Linked DNA regions of Neodiprion lecontei. The protein of the gene in region 1 purifies or fractionates together with the protein of each later gene. This does not show direct contact. Links are inferred from orthologs where the notes say so. Each region holds a gene or a part of one and is shown in the gene's direction. Other genes may lie near its edges.

Evidence for each region.
Region 2: the proteins of AT-rich interactive domain-containing protein 4A (region 1) and sin3 histone deacetylase corepressor complex component SDS3 purify together in Homo sapiens (affinity purification with western blotting; 3 studies listed by BioGRID, with this or other methods). This does not show direct contact. The link is inferred for Neodiprion lecontei from reciprocal best matches to the Homo sapiens genes ARID4B and SUDS3.

Annotation. Positions count from the first base shown.
Region 1 is NC_060266.1:855,788-866,086, reverse strand, and holds the start of AT-rich interactive domain-containing protein 4A, read left to right. Parts: upstream 1-5,195; 5' UTR 5,196-5,678; coding exon 5,679-5,684; intron 5,685-5,991; coding exon 5,992-6,428; intron 6,429-6,541; coding exon 6,542-6,787; intron 6,788-7,861; coding exon 7,862-8,066; intron 8,067-8,173; coding exon 8,174-10,299. Other genes in the region: exocyst complex component 5, read left to right, coding at 1-305, 405-503; protein arginine N-methyltransferase 1, read right to left, coding at 2,105-3,187, 4,718-4,783. UniProt on the Homo sapiens protein: Acts as a transcriptional repressor. May function in the assembly and/or enzymatic activity of the Sin3A corepressor complex or in mediating interactions between the complex and other regulatory complexes.
Region 2 is NC_060263.1:2,840,100-2,849,540, forward strand, and holds sin3 histone deacetylase corepressor complex component SDS3, read left to right. Parts: upstream 1-3,538; 5' UTR 3,539-3,676; coding exon 3,677-3,800; intron 3,801-3,900; coding exon 3,901-3,964; intron 3,965-4,047; coding exon 4,048-4,161; intron 4,162-4,249; coding exon 4,250-4,451; intron 4,452-4,545; coding exon 4,546-4,726; intron 4,727-4,785; coding exon 4,786-4,903; intron 4,904-5,009; coding exon 5,010-5,094; intron 5,095-5,173; coding exon 5,174-5,269; 3' UTR 5,270-5,527; downstream 5,528-9,441. Other genes in the region: uncharacterized protein LOC107222062, read right to left, coding at 509-617, 706-749, 855-992, 1,179-1,363, 1,549-1,671, 1,878-2,008, 2,186-2,657, 2,829-2,941 and 1 more.

The DNA of each region.
Region 1 (10,299 bases):
TGGTTCAATACGTTTCGACGATGATAACTCACATAAGAGACAGACTGGACGAAAAGAACGTCGAAAGTGTTCTCACAGAATTGGGGGTCAGATTCCACAGGGTGATATATGAACACTTGCAGCAGTTTCAGTTCAATTCTGCCGGCGCAATGTGCGCCATTTGTGACATGAATGCTTACAGAGAGTGTGCTAAAAATCTCAAAGTCAGCCTAGTCACGAATCTCTTTGACACATTGCACGCTCTCTGCAATTTGCTCCTCGTCAAGCCTGAGAATTTGAAGCAGGTCTGCACTGGGGATCAATTGGTAAGTTTTAAGTTACGACACATCGATTTCTGGCTTCTATAAAAGCATCGGTGATGTTTGTAATATCATATCGAACTGCAAATCCTATTTTTTTTGCAGGCCATGCTCGACAGGTCCATATTGATAAATTTTATACAGCTCAGGACAGACTACAAGACTCAGAAGTTGGCAAATTGTTTGAAAGGCCTTGCTGCCTAGATGGTAGAATTCAACAGAGAGAAGCGATCAATCAGTTTTCACAGCTTGCGCAAAGAACGACTGATCATCTCGATCTTGGTTTTAAGAGGAATACGAAAACGATTGAGGTATAACGATAATATTTTGTAAATAATAATCGTAATATTTAATACATATATATTATTATATATATACATATATGTATTATAGTATGTGTATATATATATATAATTATATATATATACCTTTCCAAGCGGAAAGTTGTGTAGGAAACAAACTGTAAATAACTAAAGCTCAGTGTATATTGAGACACAATTTCATTTCGAATATAATTTTCCCTTCATTTTTTCTTCAGTCACTTGAAACAAACAATCAAAGGGCAAAGAAATAACGAAAATTCGCGATATTCATAGCAAATGTATTAATTTTATTGTTACATACATAATTATATAATCACGTTGCAATGGAACCCTGGCATATTATGGGACTCAAAGAAATGGGATGAGAGTGGGGAAAGAAGTTTGTTTTTCGTGTTCCGTTTTCCGTTTTCACATCAATCTAACAAACAGTAATGATTCCTTATAAAAATTATACATAGTATAATATATACAGCTGCACTGTGACTTGGCAGTCTGTCGGCATGATTAGAAATACGTTTGCCTGCTGGTTTGACAATTACCTGGTCTAGTTAGCAACCTAGTAGAAAACCGATTTTACCTGACTAGAATTATCAATTCAGACAAAGAAGATTCTCCGTTGTTACAATTATTATGTGAATCGAAATCAATAATAGAACAATAATCGATAGCCTAGTCCCTGTGTCGATAAATCATTTACTTCCACGTTCGATGATGTGAATTGGTCATTGTTTTTGAAATATTGGCTAATATTTCATTATCGCTTAGATTTGAATTATAACCTATTCGGAGCATATACTATTTTTCATCGGTCATTGAAGTCGAACAACAAAAATAATGTTAAAAATAGGAGCTTCAAAAACTCCGAATTGTTAGTCTACATTTCAATTCCTATACTTCCAAGTAAATATGTAATTTTATTGGTACTAGGAAAAAAAATGTATGAACAAAAACAATAGCATGGCAAAAGGATGCTGTTGCGGGTAGAAACATCCTTGCCATTAATCGAGAATACCATTTGTCTGACAAAAGCGAGTTAAAATCAAGAAAAAACTAAAAAGAAGAATATTTGATGTAAGAACCTGTGAGCCAAATATGTTATAATTAAGATAACTTACAGGGGATTAGTATTAATTGTATAGGAAAATTCATCTTTGTGATGTTTGGTTAATTTGTCCCTCTTCAAGGAAGATCAATGTAAAGTATGGTAATTTTTTAATTTTTTTTTTAATTTTTATTATTTCTTCTAATTTCTCCTAAATAAAAATGGAATCCCATTTTTCCACAACGGATTATCGCGAACATCCAAGCTTCTCCTTTTGACCCACGGCTCGGGTCAGGTCGTAATTTTTGTCGTTATCGGACCAGAGTGGCACGGCTGAGTGAGCCACGAGAATTGGCCGAAAGGCGGACTTAATATCTAATAGAGAATGCGGAAGTAGCTAGATCAATTTTCGTATTTTCTCTTTATACGCCAAGTGTGAATCAGCGCATGCGGTACGTATTAGTTTCGTGCACCTCGCACAATTCACCCTTGAAGTCAAGTTCGATGCTGAAGTCGAGGTCTCGATTATTTCTCGCGTTGGGCTTCATTGAGAACACTCCATATATTTCCTCCCCTTTTTTCACAGTCATGTAATCGTCAAAGTAAAATACAGTCTGTTTCCAGTGCGTGTACTGCGCCTCAGGCGCCGTACTGAATCCTATGCGTTTGTGGCACTTGGTAAACTCTATGTTGAAGAATGTGACCAGAGCCTGGACGTAGTCGTTCCTTCTCACCTGTAGATTGAACGGCGACGTGAAATCCAGGTCCGCCTTTGTTACCGTGTACAGATCGACCTCTTTTATCAGGCAAGCATTCGTCACAACCTGTTTTGGGTCGACAACGTCCACCAGCGGCTCGCTTATCGCAACTTTCCTGATACTGCTCATGTCAAATCCGTAGACGTCGTCCCACCAGTTTATCTTCTCGTCCTTATACTGGCGGTCCTCGATGCCGCATATGAAAAGTGTCGCCTTGTCCGGAAACAGCATTCCGTCTTCACACAGCCACTTATCTCGGGCAAACAGGACCGTGTCCAGCATCGATTCGTAGAACAAGCAGTAGCCCATCCATTCGGATATTATTATGTCTACCTTCTCAATACCATCCGGCAGAGTCACTTCCTCCACTTTTCCCTTCAGGATCGTTATCACATTCGAGAGCTGGTTCGCCTCCACGATCTTCTTTGCGTACTCGACTATGTTCGAGCACTCAATGCCGATGACGCGAGCCGCCCCTGCCTTGGCTGCGAACATCGACAGGATACCTGTGCCGCAGCCTATGTCCAGTACCGTTTTACCCTTGAACAGGTGCTTGTTGTGGTACATACTGTTTCTGTACGTCATTGTCCTTATCTCATCCTTCAGCATCTCTTCATGAATCCCAAAGTGTGCATACGAGTCGAAGTAGTAGTCTCGCGAGGTCATATCGTCCACTGACACTGCCTCCTTGTCATTTGGCGTCGCTGCGTCCTTTCCCAATGGCACCACTGGCTCAGCTACTTCCATGGTTTCCATCTTAAGTGTCTATAAATGAGAAATTTTATTTATTTATAATTAACAGGTGTAAATCCTTTAATACACGACAATAAGTACACTTTAGAATCCATTGCATAGTAGCAGGTTTTTGTGCAGATATGGTTTGAATCTAAAATTACACATCTCAAATAATCTATGATACTTTTTCTTTGGACGAAATGCGCAAATGACTTTTTTAGGATACCACTTAGGATGGGTATAATGATTGATAGTAATCTTAGAAATATGTTTCTCGATTAAATCAAAAATGGAACAATGTAATGATTCAACATGGCGATTTGAGAGTAGATCAGATACATCAACTTGACTGGGCACCTCGGCAATAAAGTTGTTCGGCTCAGCAAGTTGTTACTAGTGGTAAGAAGCATGATATCGAGAAGCAAGTGAAAGGCATCACAATAAAAAATTGAATCATGAGAAATATTGCAAGAAGAATTTGATAAGTTAGAGAATATAAGATTGAACACATTGCCTCTCGAGATCAAGATATTGTTGTTGTTGCTGAGACTAAAAGAATGAAAAAAATCAAAGGGCAAAGAAAGCAGCACTGCGAATTTCAACATTGACAAAATTCCCCAACGTCTATACATTTTTCAAACAAAAATACATACACTCTGTATATGATTTTAGATGTGAATTGAAAGAATATCGATACATTAAACATTACAGATCTCAGAACAAATTCAAATTTTCTTTTCAGGTCTGCCGTAATCCCGAAGCTAGATAAACAGATGAAAATGCAAAATACTAGTTAACGAACGATTTTAGAAATAATTCACTAATACTCAAATGCGTAAAAAATTTAACTGTATGAATTCTGGTCTGATGGTAAATTTTACAAAACACGAGGCGAAGGTTGTTTGGTTAGAAAACTTAAGAAGCCGGTGGCCGCGACTGTTTCGTGTAAAGTTTGAATTACGGCGCTTGTGAGATATCGGATAAAATTTGGATATTCTTGGACACGTGTCGATTTTACTTACGATAGAGTTCATGTGCGTTAAACTAATCTACGAAAGGTTGTCGGCTGTTTGATTGACCAACTATTTAGCCCGGTTACAGCGCGACGCGGTATAACTCGCGATGATCGTGGAAACAAAATGAAAGCCTGCGTCCGTGACGGCGGCGTTCGACTCGTGAAAACGTCCACGTGCACGCGCCAAAATAAATGGCGTCTAAATTACCGCATTGTCAGGCGTGAAAATTGCGGCCATTATGATGTGCGGCTTTCGGGGCGTGATTGGGAAAATCTGTAATATCGAAAAGAGCGCCAGGCATTTGTACATTCTTTGTATTTTAGTCGGCGTAGTGAAATCGGTCGACTTGGCGGCGCATAGTTTTAGTCTGCTTTACCGTCCGACGAAACTACGACGATGACGACGAACCGAATTTTCTTATACCAAAATTGCACCATCGGAAACACGATTTCAGGGAATATTCTTTGAACGAATATCCGTAGACCTTGCACAATGTCGCGAATATCGCGCGGCTCGATTTTACTTTATCAAACTACAAACTCACCGTGTGATCGCTGCCAAGTGCGTTACTCTCGCTGATGTCCACCGGCACTTCGCTGTTCGCCGCCATTTTTTATTTCGCTCTGGCTATTCAGACGGAATCGTCGCCCCCGTAGTTTCACATTTTTATCAACGTTGCAGCAGCCGAAGCAGCCGATGCGTCCACTGCGCCGCGCAATTGCCCGCGAGACTACATCTCCACTTCATCGTCTCACCGTTTTTCGCCCGGCTTTAACTACGCTGATAATGGGTAAAAAAATATTAAACACCAATTAGTCCATCGTATAGCGCCGATTTAGTCATCATCGATTCGTTTTAAATACGTATTTTGACGTTCTTCGACCCCCTGCGAAATGCGGGCCGCCATACAGGGTCGCCAACGCCTTTACAAGTTCCAAAAAATGTCTCTCGTCACATGGTTCGACACGCTTGGCGCGTATTCATCGAGATCATTGATAGACCGAGGCCTCGCCGGCGTCTCTATCGAGTTTAAAATACCGACACTGCGCTTGCGGGTAACGTAAAGTGTAGAAATGCAGCGGATATCGTGATCTATTATTATGCGATTATTCGCCGAAAGGAAAAATGGTAAATTTTCCGGAACTACTGGGAGCGGGTATTTTTTTCGTCATGGATTGACGGCCCTGATCGTCAGAGCAAAGTGGTTGGTAGCAGCACTCCGCGAGCGACCGATGGGAGTGGGAAATGGGCAGGGAACAACAGCAGTTTGTGGCAGTTAGTGGTGTTTGTCCGCGGTGTCGCTGAACCAGTGATATAAGCTAGAGCAACGATATTCTCGTTCTCGCATAAGGCGAAAGAGGTCAACAAAGACCCTTCTCGTTCTCGGTGTGATCACTTCTCTTTACTATTTCCGAGGATATTCGGAACTGACGACCGTTTTCATGTCTCGGTGCGAGTACGGCTACCTACCGAAACTGCCTATGAAGATTGTAGAACGTTAGAAAATGCTGGTAAGAATCCATGAGCTCGAATTCGCATCTTCAACATATCTCAATTACCATTCTGGTTTTCGCCTCATCTCGGAATCGCTTCGCTCGTTTTCGCAGCTTTTTGTTCCCACTCTGATTCCCACCCACCAAGTATTGCGTATGTTTTCACTTCCCAAGAATCGTTCCTTTTTCGTTGCCGCCATTCAATCAATGTTGTGTATCATATATTCTCATCCCATCTTCGCTAGCTGATGGATCCGGATCGCGGAATAAAAATGAATAAAAATTTGTAACAAAAATAACGTACCTTTAACCATCTAATTTCCAGGGAGACGATCCACCGTATCTGTCGGTTGGTACGGAGGTAAGCGCTAAGTACAAGGGTGCGTTTTGTGAGGCTAAAATCAGGAAGGTTGTGCGGTCGGTGAAATGCCGTGTAACGTATAAGCAGGGCTTGGGAACAGCGACAGTCACCGATGATCAGATAAAAGGCACGCTCAGGGTAGGGGGGCTGGTCGAAGCCAAGCACAATGACAGAAAGGAATTCGTCGATGCTACCGTCAACAAAATACAAGACTGTAGTCAGTACACTGTCGTTTTTGACGACGGAGACATAACGACTCTCAGACGAACTGCTTTGTGCCTGAAAAGTGGCAGACACTTTGCAGAGAGTGAAACTTTGGATCAGCTGCCTCTCACTCATCCCGAACACTTTGGTAATCCTGTTATCGGCGGTAGGAGGGGGCGGAGATCCAGGCAAGCTCAGTAAGTGCTAAAAATAATTATGACTCAAGCTCCGGAAGAAGTATAAACCGAAGAAAACGACAGAAAATGCAACTATCTCCGTCTTGTCTTATGAAACGTTAACCGTTCTGCAGGGATGAGAGCAGCGACGATGAGGAAAGCCCACCGCGAGGTGTCAGAGAATCAGGTTCCGGAGGTGTGGGAAAAGAACAAGTCGAAACAGAACCAGAGATTGGTAGAGTCGTGTGCGTAGAGCTTGGAGACAAGAAGAAAAAGGACAATTGGTTCCCAGGGTTGGTAGTTGCTCCAACTGCCCAGGATACAGTCAGGATACGTGTCCGAGATGACTATCTAGTTCGTTCATTTAAGGATGCCAGATAGTGAGTATTTGAATTTGAATTTACATTTATCGAAAGACACTTCCAATACTGTTCATGTCTATAGAATCTGCATAATAATCACCTTCTGCTGCAGAGATTATTTATCATCTCTATTCAGTTTGTTCAATTCGACAATATTAAGAATACCTATGAACTACGATAGATTTGAGAAATAAAACGATTATTGTTTGCTCAATTTATTTATTTACATATTTTCGTAAACCTTCAATCTTACACAGTCTTTTATCATATTTTGAATATATTCTTTTCATTTTAGATTTGTAGCGATTTTTTCTTGCTTCATATTCACTTGGTATTTTATTGAAATAATAGGTATGTAGTTAAGTATAAATGATTCCTTTGACCTTTATTTCTGTATGTTTTCGGTAGTGTAATACTATCGTTTCTAGTGGCGGTTGCATTATTTGTATATTGCATATGTAAATTTAATGATATAACTTTTTTGCTATCTGCCATTTTCGTTATGTTTATAATCCTATTATCTATACTGTTCAGTGCTTGCAGAGTAGTTTTATTTCTAGCACCCTAAGATATAAATCCATTAGTCTGGTAATGTATATTATAGGTTGTCAAACGATAATATTTTACTTAGATTGAATATCACGTAAACCATATACTTTGTTTTGCTAATAAGATAATTTATATGGCAGTTCCATCTAAGATGCTTATTAATTGTAATATGGTCAAACTTGCCAATAGCAGACACCTTCGGGAAGGAAAATCTTGTCTTTTATAGAGAAGTGTCCATTATTGGGAGATACATTTTCAATTATGCTTTTCTGTCAGGGATTTCTAACTTGTCCGTTAAGAGAAGTTTTATTGTACCCAAACATTTAGTTTCGTTTACATTTGATATTTTCTAATTGTCAACATATCCATTGAAATCCCTTCATATACAATCTCTGTGATTAACAACTGTAATATTTACTCTTCTTTTTCTACATTTAATGATAACGTATTTTTGTCCAGCCATTCTTTGATATTCACCTCTTGTGCGACTTCTCTCACTTTCCTAGCGGCAACAATACGCGATGTTACTTGTTTTGTCCTCAGCTACACCGTTCCAAAGAAGGAAGCAACAGAGTTCACCAAAGAATTGGTTAACAAGGTGGAGAATAATGCGCTCAAAATTGCCGTTGAAAAGGCATTGTTATTTCTCGACAAAAACGAACTTCCACCTCACTGGGACAGGGATTCTTTATTTGGCAATGCAGACTCTAGCGGGAACAGCGATAGTGACGCAGAACTGGATTCCGATGTAAGTGTCTGTAATCCATGATGTTTAAACTTGGTTGTCACTGACCGATTCACGCATCGAATCTGTTTTGTTCTTTTTTTTTTTTTTTTTTTTTTTTTTATTTTCAGAGTTCCGATGACGAGCCAAGGGAGGAAAAGGATCACTTTGTTGCACAGCTTTACAAGTTTATGGACGATCGAGGAACTCCGATAAACAATTGTCCTATGATAGGGACACAGGATATAGACTTGTACAGACTATTCAGAGCCGTTTACAAACTGGGTGGTTACAATCGTGTCACAAATCAGAATCAATGGAAGTCCATTACTCGTCGACTCGGTTTTCCCATTCAGAGTACGTCGTCAACTCAGAACGCCGTGAAACAACAGTACAAAAAGTTCCTTCATTCTTTTGAAGATTTTTATAGGAAGCTTGGTTGCACAATGGTAAATCACCCGAGGGGCAGTACCAGGAAACAGAGACCCGGCAGGAGTCTGATCAGAGACAGAGACAGGAATACGCCTGTCCCGCCACAGATGCCCTCAACAAAGATTGAGAAGGAGGAGGAAGAAAAAGAGAAAGACAAAGACAGGGAAAAGGAGAAGGAGAAAGAAAAGGACAAGGAAAAAGAAAAGGAGAAAGAGAAGGAGAAGGAGAAGGAGAAGGAGAAGGAGAAGGAGAAGGAGAAGGAAAAGGAGAAAGAGAAAAGAATCGAGGAGGAGGAAAAACGGGAGAAAAAGGAGGTGAAGAAGGAGCCGATGAAGGAGGAGGAGATTGTGAAGATTAAGAAGAAGGAGGAATTCGAGGAGAGCGGGAGTGGACAAGACAGCGATGTGAACATCGACGGGGAGGAGGAATCGTCGTCTAGCGAAAAATCACAGAAAATCGTTGCCACATTGGCGCCAAAGGCAAAGCCGCCAGCAAAGCTCAAAGATGAAAAGAAAAAAACTGGGGAAAAGAAGAAGGGAGATGCGAAAAAGTCGGAGAAGAAGGCGGAAGACAAGGTGAAAGAGGAAGAACAGCTAACCGTGACCAGATCCAAGTCCAAGGATGACACGACCAAGGGTAAACCATCGATTACCGAACCCAGAGACGTTCGAACACCATCCGCAGAGACTGAGAAGAAGATTCCCCCGAAGCAGCGCCGACCTACCGAAGAAGAGTTGAAAAAGCGCGGCAGAAAACGCAAAGAAAGCGAGCCGGAAAAGCCGAGGCCCATGGAGGAAATGCCCACCGATCCCGCACCGTCGTACAAAGGGGTGGTTGACCTCGGAGATCGTCTCAAGGTTTACTACGGGCCTAACCACGAGTCTAAAGTAACGTACGAGGCAAAAGTAATCGATATAGAGAAAGAGGGTGCTGAGCCGGTTTACCTGGTCCACTACACTGGCTGGAACACGCGATACGACGAGTGGATAAAGGGCTCCAGGATTGCGCAAAATTTCACACAGACTCAAGGTCGCGTAAAGCGCGGCAAGACCACTCCTAGGCCACAGACTCCAAGTACTGCGGGCTCCTCTGCGTCTAGTAAACTAGCCAAGTCGTCAGCCCAGAACAGGAGAAGGGCACACAGTGTTGCGCCTACCTCCGTAACTACTGCAATACCAACTGCGTCGATGATGAAGGATGTCGGAAAGCGGGACGAGAAGGAGAAGGACGGCCACCCACCCCGATCAAGCACACCGTCTTCGGTCGCAAGTTCAAGTTCCAGGACGAAGAGCCCTGCGACTCCAGCCGTAGGAAGGCAGACCAGAGTTACCAGGAACAACGACTCCTCGGGGCTCGAACCGCGGAGACGTACCAGACGCATGTCTGGTCATACAGACATATCAGTGGCATCGGAGAGCGACAGCGATGCCTACGAATCAGACACGATGGAGCCGGAGCAAACAAGGACAAGATCCAGGGGAATGGAGGAGCGGAAAAAAAACACGAGGCAACGCGGGGATGATGAGGTGAAAACCGAGGACTGCAGCGAAGCTGAGGAGGAGAAGGATGCACCTGAGGAGCTCAGAAGGGGACGCAGGCTCAGGAGAACGCCGGGAAAGAATCAGGCAGTGAAGTCAGAGCCTGAGAGCGACGAGGATCAACCCAAGGGTCGGGACTTTGATCTGAACCAGATCAGATCGGAGCTGAAGGGCTTTGAAAAGGCTGTCAAACTCGACATGATTAGGGTTGAAAGGGAAACGGAAGAGGCGAATCTTGAGGAGAAGGAAAGTGAGGACAAGCCTTTGGTCCCAATGCCCGCATCACC
Region 2 (9,441 bases), on another chromosome or scaffold:
AATTAGAAAAATTAAAAATTTAAAAAAATACATATTCTGGTGTAACTCTTTATTTTGGCTACGTATGTATACTCAAATTGTGTACACATGTATGTAATACACCCGTTTATATAAAAGTAAGTAATTATAAGTAGTAATAATGAAAATAACAATAATGATAACAGTAATAATGGTATGAATAATAATAGTAATATAAATAAGTTAATATTATGTGGGAGCACGTAACATGGGTGTATTGGTACACGTAATGGACTTTGGTTTCCTTTAATTTAAAAAAAAAAAATTAAAATTAAACGAACTCGCTTATTATATGTATACAAAGACTTGCCTAGTAGTGTGCGTGCTCTTGACAACAGTGAAATATATCTGTTGTTTTAGATTGAAAGTCGTCCTATATTTGCTACCATATTATTCCTTGACATGCCAATGGAATAAGTGTTATAATTATTTCCGTAGTTAATTGCATTCGTAGATAAATAAAATTAATAAAATGATTTGATACCATATTTTACACACCATCAGACAAATCGTTGTCGTTGACTTTAAAACTATCATGATACACGTACGATATAACTGGTTCTCGACTCAATGGCAGTCGCTGATGCTTTATATCGTGTCTGTAAAATTGAACATTCTTTGAATTAATAATCGGATAGTCGTTTTAGAGGTGTGACGAATTATTACAGGCTCAAAGTGGAAGCTTACTTAATAGTTGGACGGATTTCTTCCAATTTCTTCAAATTTACACCCTGTGGAAGTAAAAACGGGTGTTTAGAGTATAACAAAATAATGTACCTTAAGGTATTTAATTTTTCGTTATTAAATACTGCGTCACAATAGATAAATAACAGTACCAGGGTAATATCTGCAATATTCGTATCCTCCCTTGAGTTTTCGAAGACGTGAGTTGAAAGTTTTCGTCTTATTTTGGACAAACTGTTGACTTGCAAATCGCTAGCAGGCATTCTACTGGCTTCTTTTCTATTAGGAGTCTGGAATTTATATGGATTAATTTATATTTCAAACAGTTCCGACATATTCTATGAATTTTAACTAAATCCCATGGTTATTGTTTCTTATTATGTCTCAGTGATGGAGTCTAAATTTGATATTTATTTATCACCTGCTTACAAGTCGTCTCAAGAAATCTAGCATGCTCTATGATTAGTTATATATACCATATTGTTAGTGATTGCATCATTGGCGTCGCTGTGATTCAACTCTGTCAAGATTCTTTTTCTTTTAACCCGGTTTTTTGCTGTTTGCACAGGTGACAACGAACGAACCTTTTTGCTATAATTGCCTGATTTCTTATGATTGTTTGTCGTCAAAACATCATTGTCTTCGTCTTTTAGTTTTCCATCTACACAAAATTAAGAATGATATTTCTGTTTTAAGTACTGATAAACTAATGATTCATCAGAAAAACTTCAAGTTAGAATGTGTAGGTAAAACATTTGGGACGTTGAATAACAATTGTTTTGACATATTGAAAATATATTTCATTTCAATATGCGGAAAAATATTTGAAATACAGGGAACACTTGCCGCTGACTAAATGTTTATAAGATTCTGTTTCATCATTTTTCAATAATCTCCAGTTTTCACAAAACAAATTTATTTGCTTTGGACATCCATTGCGACACCACAAAATTAACTCCTTAGGAATACCTGCCGAGTGAAAGTTCAGTACCATTATCCCCAAATAATTGATATACATGTTTAGCTAGCTGCAATGTGAATCAAAACTTTCCAATATCTTCAGAATTTAAAAAGTGTAGTGATGAATTAGGTACACGCCTATGAGTGTGAAACATAAAATGAAAAATACTTGACTCTACTGTCCTCAGAATACACATCATTGCATTCATACATACTACGTTTAGTGTTGTTGAGATCGCCCATCAATTCATAAAATTCGTGATTAATGGTTTCAATGATCCTTGGAGAAATTCTTCGATGTACAATACCTGTTACGTGATTCCTATTCACAGCATGACCCATTGAACTGGAAAAAATGGATCAATTATTCTTTTGTGCAGAATTTCACAAATGTTCAAGGTATGTAATAAAACAATTCACAGCCTTATTCAGACTTGTTTGATATACAATTAAGTCTTGCAAATATTTACTTATTCTTATAATGTATCGTTTTAATGCTGATTTTTAGTATCGTGTGGCTCACCTCAGCAAGGTTCCCTTAAAGGCCAAGTAGCATCCTGCATTGTCGCCAAGTTGCAGGAGTGGTGTCCATGCTGTGAGCTGCTTCGTATCATTTGGTGTTTTGGATATTTTGTCAGACACCTCATGATCCAAAATTGATTCGCAGGTCTTTGTTTCAGCAAGTGAATTAACCAGTTTTTCATTCTGATGATATTCACCAATACTTTCATCAGTACCATTTTTAATCATAGGGTACGTCGTCTCATTCACCATTGTAACTTTTTCAATGTCTTTAACGAAACGAGAATTCTCATTGGAACCATTAACAGTCAACTTAAGCTTTTCATTGACAAAGAGACCTTCAGGGATACACAATAATCGTGTTGCTTCGTCGCATCCAGAGGTAATAATGAAGCGTTTCCAAATGTCGATAATAGCTTCCCAATCTTCTGGGAAACCTTGTTGAAATTTACGGCGAACGAATACTGGAAGTTCTGCAGATAATAGTTGGAAATATTTATGGATCAGCTAAAGACAAGTATAAGATGGTTGATGGAAAATATTTTTTATACACGATACAATAAAAATCTGTCATTTATGATATTACTTCTCATGTAATAACAGCATAGCTCTTGCGTGAATGTGACTGAGATTTATATGCGTACCATGTTGTAAATCAGCCATATTTCCAATTAGATGATAGGCATGTTTGAATTTTGATAAAATCCTTGACGAGGTGACTCTATTTGCTATTGGTTTAGTTCGAACTCTGGTACCACTGTCAATAAATGTTAAATGTAAGATGGATTGAAATTTATTCAGCATGCATTAATAGCTCAATGTAGAAGTTTATCTTATTCAAACTATGTATAACAAGTATCTGTATCAGGTACGTATTTGCTACATAAGGTTTTAAGGAGAACATACCACTCCAAATTTCCTTCAATGACAACCTGGTCATCATCATTTAGTTTAACAATCCACAATGTAATTGATCTTATCTTTTTTTTTAACGAATTCAAATGGGCCACATGACAATCCAGCGATCTCACTGATGTTCTGTACGCTTCAGAATCACAATTCCCATAAGAAACTCCACTCGAATCGTTAGGAATAATTCCAACTGGATCTGATTTCTTCGAAAATGATTCCATTTCATTGTAGGATAAGTAATCTATCAGAATCCATAAAATTTCGGTAACCTACGTATATCGGGCGTCCGATGCGAAGAGAAATGAAAAAAAGAAGCAAGCACTAGGATTAGCAAACGCCTGGTCGGAATTTGAATACGTCTCAATGAATAACGAATCACAACAAGTGGCGTTCTGCAACGGACACGTGTGCGTGTTTATCGGATGAAGCAATTGACATCCTCTCGTGTGCATGTGTGCATACATAACATAACCTCTTACTTGACAAGCTTAACCAGAGAGAGGATTTGTGTCGATAACTAGCTCGTAAATTAAGACATCATCGTGATTTATTCGGCGCGGAGTCTTACAGTATTGTTTACATGTCGTTTCAAGGTTCTCCATTTTCAACACCTTATGGTCAGGACGATTATGATGTCGAGGACGACAACGATGAGTACATGGAAGAAGATCGTGATTTGGAGGACCAGGATGAGAGTGACGAAGGTCAGAATTTTTGGGCTTTGTTGATAAAGACATCTTACAATTTGTATATGCATTTATTTAAACTTCAATAATAATAACTTTGATTTGTTTTAATTTTCAGATACGGAAGAGGCTAGTGAGCCCGATATGGGAAAGTCAGAAAAGTACACTGAAATAAAGGAACAGTAAGCAGTAACCAATTTTGACAATATTCTTAATTACAACTCTTAAATAATCGCTTCTGAAATAAACGTTCTTTTCTCCGTAGAATGTATCAAGATAAATTAGCTAGTCTAAAAAAACAGCTTCAACAATTGAAGGATGGAACACATCCGGAATACAATCGTAAGCTCAAACGCCTGGAGGTGCAGTACAAGGAAAGGTGAGGTATTCCTGAAATACGTTAAAATATGTTGTTAGATGTGGAAAAATTATCCTTCAGAGTACTAATTTTCTACTATTAAATTCAGGTTACGGTTGAATGGAATTTACCGGGATTACCTCACCGAGTGGGTAGAAAGAGATTACATACTTGAGAAAAAAGCAGCAGCCAAGGAGTTTGAAGAGAAAAAAATCGACCTCAAGGAAAATTTATTAACCGATATGGAAGAGAAGCGTAAAATGATTGAATCTGATCGGCACACAATGGAACTCACTGGTGATTCTATGGAGGTAATAGGCTTTATCCAGTCTTCTTACTTTTTGACAAATTGATAATGTAAAACTAAGTGATCATCCGTAACTAGTTTGATTCGTTTGTACTCAGGTGAAACCCCCTATGACCAGAAAACTGCGCCGTCGACCCAATGACCCAGTACCTGAGAAAGTAGAGAAACGTAGAAAGCCACCTCCGGCGCAGTTGAATTACTTACTTGATGAAAAGGAGATTGAGAATGACTTAAAAGCGATCAGCCGTTGTAAAATACTATCTACTGTACGAAAACCAGGTACTGATTTTTCGTTTTTATTTTTAATAACTTTTAGTAATGCTTTTTTAATTTTTCAGCAGTCCTGACTGCCTGCAATGTAGTCAATCTTCCAGCTCAGCATGCCAATCCATCTCCTGATACTCCTCTGGTAGAGACAAGGATTGAAGATGGAAAATTACTCTATGAAAGAAGATGGTTAGAGTCCACACAAATATTTATGCATCATGATTTTCTTTCAAAATCAAAGCAACAAAGAATTTATATTTTGTAAATGACTTCATATTTTTAATTTGATTTGCAGGTTTCACCGCGGTCAACCTGTTTATGTTGAAGGCAAGGACTTACCCCGATTCGCTGGTAATATATCAGCGATTGGAACCGAAGCTGTGAGTAAATTTCATTTACTTTAGCACTAATTAAGAAAGAGCTTTAAACAATAGTTCGTGTGTAATTGTTATCTTACAGATCTGGGTAAAGAAGGTATCTGACAATGCCAAAGTCAGAATATACATATACCAACTCAGCCGTGGAAAGATTTCCATTAAACGACGTGCATCATAATGAACCTGACTGATGAAAAACAAACAGGAAATACTTGTTGAAATGTCGATATTTTCAAGTTGGTACTTGTGCAGATTTATAGTTATAAACAGTCAGATGTAACTGTGTTTTTTTTTTCATAGACAACAACATTTTAGCTATGCTCAGTTATGCTGATTTTTATTATTTGTATAATTGTTACTGATCATTCAGTAAAAGATCTTTTACGTCGTTTAAACGTCTAACAGATCTGTACAATCAAAACTCTGTCTAAATGAATGCAACGGTAGTTTATATTATTTACTTCCCCCCTGCTCTTCCCTGTCACCGATGTCCATTTACGTTACCATTTGCTGATAGTAGTAGTTGATGTCATGAATGAAAATAAGGTGAGTTCGTGCGCAGCCTTCTCTAATTGTGAGACCCAATCACGTCCTGCTCCAGATAGACGTCCAGCACGGATTACACATTCGGGCCGGAGATCGCTCGGTCCTTAAAAAGTGACAGAAACGAACGCGACCAATATCCGTTTCTTTTTAAACAGAAACGTAAATCTCATATTAGGCACTCGTGTGTGAAATTATTTTCGAAAAAGGATAGGAAAAAGACTTGAGTGTAAGTGCAAAGAATATAATTAATTTTTTTGAACTGAAATTTCTTCCCTTTGTTCATTGTATATATTAATTATATATTGATGTTAACATGTCTGATTTAAAGACTTCAAACTCGCGTTGAAGGATTGTATCCACTTGTGAAACGATCTTCGAGGTTTTTCATCTCCACGCGGTTATAAACACTGGAATAAGCTTTATGAACTCGGAAAAAATATATAGTATTATTTATCTAGTAATAGTATTACTAGGATTATTTATAAGAACGCTAGGCCTGCGTACAGACTCATACAAGTCTCTGCAGGATTTTTATGTAACAACCCCTTTCCATAAAAATTGTACCCCTATACACCTGTTTCAATAAAATTTAATTTACTTAATTGATTTATTAAATGATAATTGTCGCATACACTGGAATCAATGGTTGAGCAGGACTACATCTACTGTAATACGGGAAGTTGGATGTTCTATCACCAAAGGTCACTTGACATGAGAGGGTCATACACATACAAGAAAATTGGGAAAAATTTTTGTTCGAAACAATAACAAGGCAAAAACTTTCGGTCGAAAATTTGGTAAAAAAGTAAGGCTAACCCCTTTGCATTTTTGGCGGAAATTTTCGCGAATTTGAAAAGTGCTGGAATAAATTCTATGATGCACTATTCCGACGTAATTTTGCGAGAGAAATCGATTGGGCGCAGTCCCAACACGCTGCAAGCAACGTATAAAGAGTTGGAGCCGAAAAACGAGAACCTGAGTTTTCGACATTTTTCAGCTGGTGCTTTTTTCATCGTAATTTCCCTGCTGTTGATCCCACGCTATTTTCGCTGCGTTTTCTGAGTTCCTGGGGGTCCAATTAATTGGGACAGGGTCATACAAATCGAATCTGAGACGAAAAATTTTCGGTCAAAAATTTGACAAATAAGTGAGGCTTTGCATTTTTCGCGGAAATTTTAGCGAATTTTGAAAGTGCTGAAATAAATTCTTTGATGCATTATTCCGACGTAATTTTGCGAGAGTAATCGATTGGGCGCAGTCCCAACATGCTGCGAGCAACGTATGAAGAGTGAAAGCCGAAAAACGAGAACCTGAGTTTTCGACATTTTTCAGCTGGTGCTTTCACCATCGTAATTTCTCTGCTGTTGATCCCACGCTGTTTTCGCTGCGTTTTCTGAGTTCCTTGGGGTCCAACTGGTCGGGAAAGAGTCATACGAATCAATTCTGAGACGAAAAATTTTTTGGTCAAAAAAAAAGGAAGGTTAACCCCTTTGTATTTTTGGCGAAAATTTTCGCGATTTTCAAAAGTGCTGGAATAAATTAATTGTGGCACTATTCCGACGTAATTTTACAAGAGAAATCGATTGGGCGCAGTCCCAATACGGTGCGATCAACGCATCAAAAGTTACAGCCAAAAAACGAAAACCCGAATTTTCGACATTTTTCAGCAGGTGCTTTTTCCGTCGTATCTTCTTTCCCGTTGATCCCACACTCCTTTTACCGCGTTTTCTGAGTTCCTTGGTGTCCAATTGGTCGGGAAAGAGTCATACGAATCAATTCTGAGACGAAAAATTTTTTGGTCAAAAAAAAAGGAAGGTTAACCCCTTTGTATTTCTGGCGAAAATTTTCGCGATTTTCAAAAGTGCTGGAATAAGTTAATTGTGGCACTATTCCGACGTAATTTTGCAAGAGAAATCGATTGGGCGCAGTCCCAATACGGTGCGATCAATGCATCAAAAGTTACAGCCATAAAACGAAAGCCTGAATTTTCGACATGTTTCAGCAGGTACTTTTTCCGTCGTATCTTCCTTCCCGTTGATCCCACGCTCCTTTTACCGCGTTTTCTGAGTTCCTTGGGGTCCGATTGGTCGGGAGAGAGTCATACGAATCAATTCTGAGACGAAAAATTTTTTGGTCAAAAAAAAAGGAAGGTTAACCCCTTTGTATTTTTGGCGAAAATTTTCGCGATTTGCAAAAGTGCTGGAATAAGTTAATTGTGGCACTATTCCGAAGTACTTCTGCGACAGAAATCGATTGGGCGCAGTCCCAATACGGTGCGATCAACGCATCAAAAGTTACAGCCAAAAAACGAAAACCTGAATTTTCGACATTTTTCAGCAGGTGCTTTTTCCATCGTATCTTCTTTCCCGTTGATCCCACGCTCCTTTTGCCGCGTTTTCTGAGTTCCTTGGGGTCCAATTGGTCAGGAAAGAGTCATACGAATCAATTCTGAGACGAAAAATTTTTTGGTCAAAAAAAAAGGAAGGTTAACCCCTTTGTATTTTTAGCGAAAATTTTCGCGATTTGCAAAAGTGCTGGAATAAGTTAATTGTGGCACTATTCCGAAGTACTTCTGCGAGAGAAATCGATTGGGCGCAGTCCCAATACGGTGCGATCAACGCATCAAAAGTTACAGCCAAAAAACGAAAACCTGAATTTTCGACATTTTTCAGCAGGTGCTTTTTCCATCGTATCTTCTTTCCCGTTGATCCCACGCTCCTTTTGGCGCGTTTTCTGAGTTCCTTGGGGTCCAATTGGTCAGGAAAGAGTCATACGAATCAATTCTGAGACGAAAAATTTTTTGGTCAAAAAAAAAGGAGGGTTAACCCCTTTGTATTTTTGGCGAAAATTTTCGCGATTTTCAAAAGTGCTGGAATAAATTAATTGTGGCACTATTCCGACGTAATTTTGCCAGAGAAATCGATTGGGCGCAGTCCCAATACGGTGCGATCAACGCATCAAAAGTTACAGCCAAAAAACGAAAACCCGAATTTTCGACATTTTTCAGCAGGTGCTTTTTCCTTCGTATCTTCTTTCCCGTTGATCCCACGCTCCTTTTACCGCGTTTACTGAGTTCCTTGGGGTCCGATTGGTCGGGAGAGAGTCATACGAATCAATTCTGAGACGAAAAATTTTTTGGTCAAAAAAAAAGGAAGGTTAACCCCTTTGTATTTTTGGCGAAAATTTTCGCGATTTTCAAAAGTGCTGGAATAAATTAATTGTGGCACTATTCCGACGTAATTTTACAAGAGAAATCGATTGGGCGCAGTCCCAATACGGTGCGATCAACGCATCAAAAGTTACAGCCAAAAAACGAAAACCTGAATTTTCGACATTTTTCAGCAGGTGCTTTTTCCATCGTATCTTCTTTCCCGTTGATCCCACGCTCCTTTTGCCGCGTTTTCTGAGTTCCTTGGGGTCCAATTGGTCAGGAAAGAGTCATACGAATCAATTCTGAGACGAAAAATTTTTTGGTCAAAAAAAAAGGAAGGTTAACCCCTTTGTATTTTTAGCGAAAATTTTCGCGATTTGCAAAAGTGCTGGAATAAGTTAATTGTGGCACTATTCCGAAGTACTTCTGCGAGAGAAATCGATTGGGCGCAGTCCCAATACGGTGCGATCAACGCATCAAAAGTTACAGCCAAAAAACGAAAACCTGAATTTTCGACATTTTTCAGCAGGTGCTTTTTCCATCGTATCTTCTTTCCCGTTGATCCCACGCTCCTTTTGGCGCGTTTTCTGAGTTCCTTGGGGTCCAATTGGTCAGGAAAGAGTCATACGAATCAATTCTGAGACGAAAAATTT